2 linked regions of the Mus musculus genome follow. The protein of the gene in region 2 purifies or fractionates together with the protein of the main gene of each other region. This does not show direct contact. Links are inferred from orthologs where the notes say so. Each region holds a gene or a part of one and is shown on either strand. Other genes may lie near its edges.

The links.
Region 1: the proteins of Copg1 (region 2) and Arcn1 purify together in Homo sapiens (affinity purification with mass spectrometry; 6 studies listed by BioGRID and IntAct, counting the BioPlex papers as one, with this or other methods). This does not show direct contact. The link is inferred for Mus musculus from reciprocal best matches to the Homo sapiens genes COPG1 and ARCN1.

Annotation. Positions count from the first base shown.
Region 1 is NC_000075.6:44,746,871-44,751,038, forward strand, and holds part of Arcn1 (coatomer subunit delta), read right to left. Parts: intron 3,564-4,168; coding exon 3,455-3,563; intron 1-3,454. UniProt on the Homo sapiens protein: Component of the coatomer, a cytosolic protein complex that binds to dilysine motifs and reversibly associates with Golgi non-clathrin-coated vesicles, which further mediate biosynthetic protein transport from the ER, via the Golgi up to the trans Golgi network.
Region 2 is NC_000072.6:87,890,540-87,894,707, forward strand, and holds part of Copg1 (coatomer subunit gamma-1), read left to right. Parts: exon of another isoform or gene 1-220; intron 221-1,409; coding exon 1,410-1,485; intron 1,486-1,666; coding exon 1,667-1,759; intron 1,760-2,093; coding exon 2,094-2,180; intron 2,181-3,256; coding exon 3,257-3,414; intron 3,415-3,501; coding exon 3,502-3,635; intron 3,636-4,168. UniProt on the Homo sapiens protein: The coatomer is a cytosolic protein complex that binds to dilysine motifs and reversibly associates with Golgi non-clathrin-coated vesicles, which further mediate biosynthetic protein transport from the ER, via the Golgi up to the trans Golgi network.

The DNA of each region.
Region 1 (4,168 bases), on a different chromosome or scaffold from region 2:
TAGTTCACCAGTGACACTCAATGCTTACACTAGGGGCAGGGTAAATGAGGAAAACAAAGACTACTCTAAGGGTGGCAAAAGACTTTAACTGTTTCCTATCAACTTTACAGTGCTCGCTCTTCCTCTGTGCTCGGTTCTGACTCTGACTTATATGCTGGGGTAAAATGTTTTTCAAAGATCTCTTCAGGCCACTGCAAAGCTGAAGGAAGACACAGGAAACCACCACAGCCATAATTATAGAGTAGACAGACCTAAAAATGGTGGCATTCCAAAAATAGTGTAGGAAAATAAATCTCAACAAACAAAGTCCACCCGTCAGCAGTGCCCAAGTTCTACCACTGTTCAAGGTAGCTATTTATTGTTCTGAAAGAACAACTGACTTTTGGAGACAGTCACCCTATTATTTTACTTTTTTCAAATTAGGGTCTTTTGTATAACATAGGCTTGAAATCAGAACTCTCCTGCCTCTCAAGGGCTGGAACTATAGGTGTGCTGGCTAATCCTATTAATGCGAATATTGGCATTGTGGTTTGAATAAAAAAAAAAAAGGCCCCGTAAGCCCATAGGGAGTGGCAGTATTATGAGGTGTGGCCTCATTGGAGTAGATGTGGCCTTTTTGGAGGAAGTGTGTCACTGGGGGGGTGGACTTTTGAGGTTTCAGGAGCTAAAGCCAGGCCATGTGGCTCACTGTTCCTGCTGCCTGATGATCTGAATGTAGAACTCTTAGCTATCTCTCCGGCACCATGTCTGCTTGCTTGCCACCATACTTCCTGCCATGACAATAATGTACTAAACCTCTGAACCTGTAAGCCAGCCTCAATTAAATGCTTTCCTTTATAGGGGGCTGGAGAGATGGCTTAGAGGTTAAGAGCACCACCATCTGCTCTTCAGAGGTCCCGAGTTCAATACCCATTAGTCATGTGGTGGCTCACAACCAACTATATTGAGATCTGGTGCCCTCTTCTAGCCTGAAAGCATAATGAAGACAGAATGCTGTATACATAATTTTTTTAAAAAATGCCTTCTTTCTTTTTTTTTTAAGCTGTCATGGTATCTCTCCAGAGTAATAAGACAATGGTAATATAGCATATTTTAAAAAGCAGAAATAAGGTCAGGTGGTGGTGGAGCACACCCTTAATCCTGGCATTTGGGAGGTAGAAACAAGTGGATCTCTATGAGTTCTAGGCCAACCTGGTCTACAAAGTGAGTTCCAGGACAGCCAAGGCTACACAGAGAAACCCTGTCTCGAAAAACCAAAGAGAGAGAGAGAGAGAGAGAGAGAGAGAGAGAGAGAGAGAGAGAGAGAGAGAAAGAGAGAAAAACCCAGAAATAAGCATGACTAAAATTAGACTTGGCCAAGATAAATCCCTCAGTAATCAAAGGAAACAAAACTAGAAATTAAGTATTATTTTGTTGTATATAAAATTATTTTGTGGGGCTGGTGAGATGGCTCAGTGGGTAAGAGCACCCGACTGCTCTTCCGAAGGTCCAGAGTTCAAATCCCAGCAACCACATGGTGGCTCACAACCATCCGTAACAAGATCTGACTCCCTCTTCTGTTGTGTCTGAAGACAGCTACAGTGTACTTACATATAATAATAAATAAATCTTTTAAAACAAAAATTATTTTGTTACAATAAAAGTTGAGGCATATAACAATACGAATACTCTGTGGCTCATAATTAAACCCTGTATTGCCTAAGGCAGGGCTGAGGATGAGGGTAAAAGCTGAAATAGTAACAGTGCACACTCTACTGGAGACACATGATATTCCCAGAGGACCTTGAGAAAATGCCAGTGAACTACACAAGACATCATTGGAAGGAAAATTTTAAAGCGCATGCGTGTATGACAGGGTCTTACTCCATAGCCTAGGCTGACGTGGAACTCAAGCTCAGAGGATCCTTCTGCTTTGGTCATCCAAGTGCTGCGATTAGTGTGTAAGCCACCACACCCAGGTTGACATACGTGTTTCTCTTGCCCGTGCTGACAGTTTCCCAGGTGTATACATGTCAAAACTTACTGCACTGCATGCTTCCTGTCAATCATAACTTAAAGCTTCTAGAAAACTTAATAAAACTGATGTAGGCATACTGTATCTAAAACACACTCCTCCCTTCAGAGAAAGAGAAGGGAAAGCACAGGCTGGCAGACTAAGCTTCTCTGAAATGTGCAAAAGAAGTGTGACTGGGAACAGCCTCATCCTCCTGGCCTTGGGAAGACTACAGAGTGAGTGAGTGAGTGAGGCCTAACTCAAAAAAGCAACTCTAGCACTACAATTCATTTGTCTTGGTTTCAAAGCACAGTCCACCCCCCTTCAAAATGTACAGCTCAAAAAAGAAAAAAAAAAAAAAGTAAAGCTCACTTCAACATGGTGTGGGAGTCTTTAACCATCACATTAAGAGACAGAGGAAGGTGGGTCTCGGAATTCAGACCAGCCAGGGTTACATAGTGAGACCGTTTCAAAAAAATTCATTCTAACCAAACCCAACAAACAAGTCAAAGCACACATCTCCGTGCATTGACAACTGCACACTGTCTACAAGATCACAGGACCCCCGGGCTGGTGAGATGGCTCAGCGGGTAAGAGCACCCGACTGCTCTTCTGAAGGTCCTAAGTTCAAGTCCCAGCAACCACATGGTGGCTCACAACCATCCTTAAGGAGATCTGACTGGTGTGTCTGAAGACAGCTGCAGTGTACTTACATATAATAAATAAATAAATATTAAAAAAAAAATCACAGGACCCTTTCACCACCTGCCCCTTTCCCATAAGTACTTTACTCTCTACCTCTGGATTTCTATTCAAAAAGGATACCCTTTTCTAGAAAGCCGCGTGTTTCTACCTTCTTTTTTACATTAGTCATGATCCCCACCCCACCTCCTTTCTCCCTCAAAACAGGGTCACACAGAGCCCAGGATCAAAGTTCTGATCCTCTTGTCTCTACCTTCCAAGTGCTAGAATTATAGGCCTATGCCACCATACCAGGCTTCACAACTGGTTTTTTAGTCAACTAATTATTTTTGTTTTCCAAAACTGGGTTTGTGTAGCCCTGGAACTTGCTCTGTAGACCAAGCTGCCTCTGCTTGACTCAAGAAAGCCTCTGCTTCCAGAGTGATGCACAACTGGTATTTATGAAAAAGGAGTATCAGTTATGCCTAGTGCTTCAGACCTATAATCCTAGCTACTCTTGATATTAAAAGGCAGTCTGGCCTTATTGTGAAACTGTCTCAAAACAGGTACAAAGAGGACTGGGAACATAGCTCAGTGGTAGAGCTCTTGCTGTGTTTAAGCCTCTAGGTTTAATCAGTATTACTTCAGGGGGAAGAAAATAAGCCAACATTTCAGAATGGATATACGGTGAGGTACTGCCTCAAAAATTCATCTCTAAGCCCCAGGAACCAGCTCTACAAATTAACCCAAGATAAGGATTATTAAGAGACTTTCACTTACGGGAGTGGGATAGTGATGACCACATCATTGAGCTCTAAATTATCTTCCTGTAGTTCGTACTCTATGTTGACATCACAGCCATTTCCACTTTCCGAAGGCCAGCAATTAACTGAGAAGAAAAACAAGGCCATCACAATTCAGCTTTAGAAAAAGAGTAGAACTATTTCTTGGCCTTTGGGCTAAGATCAAGAGTATGGAAGAATAGAAATACAGCTGACCGCCGCCAGGCAGTGGTGGAGCACGCCTTTAATTATAGTGCTTGGGAGGCAGAGGCAGGCAGATTTCTGAGTTTAAGGCCAGTCTGGTCTACAGAGTGAGTTCCAGGACAGAGAAACCTTGTCTTGAAAAACCAAACAAAAAAAAAAAAAAAAAAAAGAAGAAGAAGAAGAAGAAGAAGAAGAAGAAGAAGAAGAAGAAGAAGAAGAAGAAGAAGAAAAGTACAGCTGACCAACAAATCTATAGCATCCTACATAAAACTACACACTGGTGGCTCAAAACCACTGTACTTCCAGCTCCAGGGACCTGATGACTTCTTCTGGCCTTCACAGGCACCTATTAATAGGTGGCATACATTCATTCAAACACACATATACTTTTAAAAAATTAAAACGATTAATTCAAATATACAAAGTAATAGCATCAATTCCACTTTGCCAAAAAGAACTTGCTATGGTAATGAAGGTAAGAGAATACCCATCACAGCTTGGTGTGGTG
Region 2 (4,168 bases):
AGCCAGTACTGGTTTCTGCGCTAGGCTGAGTAATTTAGGGACAGACGTCACGAATATATACTCCGTGTCCTGGAGAACTGAGAGTCACAGCTGGACCTGGTGCTGCACACTTGTTCTCCCAGCATTTGGGAGAAACAGGAGGATGGCTGCCAGTTTGAACCTGCCTGGGCTACATAGCAAGATGTCTCCAAAAAATGAAATAAAACAAAACCACACAACATCCCTGCCTCTTACCCAGTTCTTCTATTTCTTCTTGACATTGCTATCTGAGGAGAGGGACCATACAGCCAGAGTCAGGGGCATTGATATTTCCTGGGGCTGGAAAGATAGCTCAGGGGTTAAGATCTCTGGCTGATTTCTTAGCATCCACATCAGGAGGCATAAACCCGTCTGTCAGTCCAGCTACAGAGAGTTTGAGGTGCTGTCCGGCAGGATGGAATGCTTCAGTCCCGGAGGAAACTGTTATATAACTCACAGTCTCTGTAGCCTTAGGATTTACCAGCAAATAATCAGGCAGTGGGGCTCTAACATGGTTTATGGAACTGTAAAAGACTATGAAAACAGAACAGAAGGACCCGGAAGACCAAATTCTTAGCATAAAGGAGATTTATTTGCTCCAGAAGGACAGAGGAAAGGGAATAAGAGACAGACAGAAGATGAGGGAGAAGGGGAAGGAACAAGGGAGAAGGGGCAGGGATGGTTGTCCTGGAGTGGCGTCCTGGATAGAGAGGAGACAGACATGGCCAATAGGCAAATAGTAATAAAGTTAAAGGGGGGAAAGTGTTAGGAGGAGGTATTTAATTGTAATTGGACATGTTAATTAGGTGAGCCAAAGCTGGCTTTTGATTACTGGACCTATGTAGTCAGCCTCAGTAGGAGGATGTGGCTAACAAGGAATGATCCCTGGCAGATAGCTTTAGAAATGTGATCTAGTGGCTTTTCACAAGGCAGAAGGGATGGGGGAGAAGGGCCAAGGCTGCCAGAGCCATGCTCACCATGCTCAGGCTGGCCAGAGTTCCTTCAGACAACAGCTTGACTTTGGATCAGAGAAGATCTCCAGCATGAGCTAGATTGGGAAGGAGAAAGGTCCAGGCTGAGCAGTGGCAGGTGAGAGGCCTGCAGAGGAAAGCATCTCACTGAGACACTGCTCTGTTTGCTGCTTATGAATCCTTGAGCTGATGGCGATCCTCCTGCCTTTGTCCCTGAGTGCTGGGATTGCAAGCATGTAGTCTGTCTTGAATTCCGTGAAACTCCCTGGAGCTGTTGTTTGGCTTGGAGGGGTGAGAACAGAAGGGAGCAGTAGCTAGCAGACTGGTGTGGTAATCACATCACTGGTGTGGTGGTGTGGACTAGAGAAGAAGGATGGCCTATGACCCCCGCATGTCAACAGTGCCTCCTTTCCCCGGCAGCCTGACAAAAGACATGACTGGGAAAGAGGATAATTACCGCGGTCCTGCTGTCCGTGCCCTCTGCCAGATCACTGACGTGAGTCCTTCCATCTCTACCTGCTTCCCAAGCTCTCGAGCATACTCTCGGCTGTCTGCAGCTGTCTGAATCAAGTAGAGGAGCCGGGTGGGAGGGACTGACTCAGTAGGAGCTTCTGAAATGGTTGCTTTGCTCTGCACCCCGTTGCTTCTACGTCTGAGCCCGCGTTCTCCCACCACAGAGCACCATGCTGCAGGCTGTTGAACGCTACATGAAACAAGCAATTGTGGACAAGGTTCCCAGTGTCTCCAGCTCCGCCCTCGTGTCTTCCCTGGTACATAGCTGTGACTGGGGCCTGCAAGGGTGGGTTGAAGGTAGAATAAAATGTCTGAGGCCGTTGTCAGAGGGGAATCAGACACTCTGGGTTCATTGGGAAGAGCTGGGGTGAGTGGCTTTGACCCACCCCTTACATGGTAGGTTGTCAGGACTGGCATCAGACAGGAAATCTGCCAGGCGGGAAGAGTGAGGGTTGACAGCTGTCTGTCTGTCCATTCATGGGCTTGGGCTCAGGATAGTGAGGAGGGCCTGGCTGCATATGAGAGATGACAGGAGTATGACAAGAAGGGCACCTTTCCTTTTGACCCTTTAACAAGTCCCACTGCCCGCAGCACCTGCTGAAATGCAGCTTCGATGTGGTCAAGCGCTGGGTGAACGAGGCCCAGGAGGCGGCGTCCAGTGACAACATCATGGTCCAGGTGAGAGGGACACTGAAAACAAACAGGGGCACACTGTCATTGTCCAACCTCCACAAGTTCTGGTGGCCTCTGGCCAGGACAGGCTCTTATTCTTTTGTCACTGGGTGTGGGAGATGGGGACATGGAGAGAAGCAGCCAGGGCAGCACATGGGTGTTTAGGAAGGATTTCTCACTGGATGCTGCTGATAGAACCAAGTCTATTGAACGATAGATGGGAATGTTTTGGAATACAGGCTGTTACAACCCACCTGGCCTAGGTAGGCCGATGGCCACCACAGTCCAAACCTTTGCTGAGCTGGTTCTGTTAGTGACATGGGGTTTCCATCTGAGAAACTTTCCTCTGTAACCTAAACCTGGTATGCCTCTCTCTGAGCGTCAGTTTCTCTGGAACGTTGGAAGAGCAAGGGTTAAATGAGAAGACATACACAATGAGGGATGGGAAGGAGGCTTGTCCCTTTCCCTCAGTGATTGTTGTTCTCCTCACTCTGTGTGGATCATGTCTTTGGGGTCAGTAATGATGCTCTAGTGTACACCTCTAAGGGTCAGAAGCACTGACTACGTGGAAAGTACACACACCTGCCATACCTTGGCCCTCACATGCCACTTGACTAAGAATGGACAGAATGAATGGGAAGTGACCTTGGTAACTTACATTTCTAAAAGTGGTGTCCCTGGGCTTCTAGACCTCCAAAGCCAGCTTGACCACAGTGGGACAAATAAGTAGGGACAAGCAGGCCAGTCCTCTAGGTGTTGGAAGGGTTTGTGTTCTGTGTCCCACAGGACTATGCTCATATCTTGCCCTAGCTGTGTGCTGCAGCTCTTTCTATTCTGGTGTCTTCTCTCACATGGTCAGGATACCTGCAGGGTCCAGAACTCTGGTGCAAGTGAGAACATCATGTATGTGATAGTGTGTTGGGCACGACACTGGAGTTGGTTACGGGGAGTGCTTGGGAGTTGTTCCAGCCCCTCTGTGTGGACATGAGTGCTGTGCTTAAACAAGAAGGATGGAGCTAGAGACACACAGTGCCCTTCCCAGGGCTTCTGTGTCTGTTGCCCATGCTGCCTCTGTCCTTCAGTACCATGCCCTAGGACTTCTGTACCATGTGCGGAAGAATGACCGACTGGCCGTGAGTAAGATGATCAGTAAGTTCACCCGGCACGGCCTCAAGTCCCCCTTTGCCTACTGCATGATGATCCGAGTGGCCAGCAAGCAACTAGAGGAAGAAGACGGCAGGTGAGGACGCTGGTCTCTTGCCAGCTAGATGATGCCTTCTGCACTGCTGGACTGTCCCCAACTTCTTGTTGCTTTGTTCTTTGGTAGCCGTGACAGCCCGCTGTTTGACTTCATCGAGAGCTGCCTGCGTAACAAGCATGAGATGGTGGTGTATGAAGCTGCCTCAGCCATTGTCAACCTGCCAGGCTGCAGTGCCAAAGAGCTGGCCCCTGCTGTGTCAGGTCTCCATATATCCCCTTCCTTGCTGGGCACAGGCCCCGAGCCAGAGATCTTCAGATAGGCCATGATGTAGGGCTGTCACAGGTGTTGCTTTAAAGGAGGGCTGTTTTCAGTTCCATCTCAGTGCTGGTGGGGCACTGCTGGGCCAGCTGGCTCCAGAGGAGGACTCGGGGTGGGGCCCAGGACCTATAAAGCTCAGGGTGCTTGCTCATGGGGCGCACTGGAACTCACAGCTGGACTCACTGCAACTGCCCTGAGCAGGCAGAAAGCCCCTGTCCTCTGTCTGACCTTCCTCACCAGGCCTCATTTCCCTTCTGAAACACAAAGGGCCCTCTTGCTGTAGGTGGTACCGGTGGGATCTGCACAGGCTACTCAGTAGTGTGACACACACTACTGAGTGCATTCTGTGTGTGTTACTAAGGAGAAGCCAACAGCTTTCAGTTGTTTCTGCTCTAGCGAGCAGAGCAGTGCCTGTCTCCCTGCCGGATGCTGGCGTTGGGATGAGAGTAGAGAATATGCACCTGGGGCTTGAAAA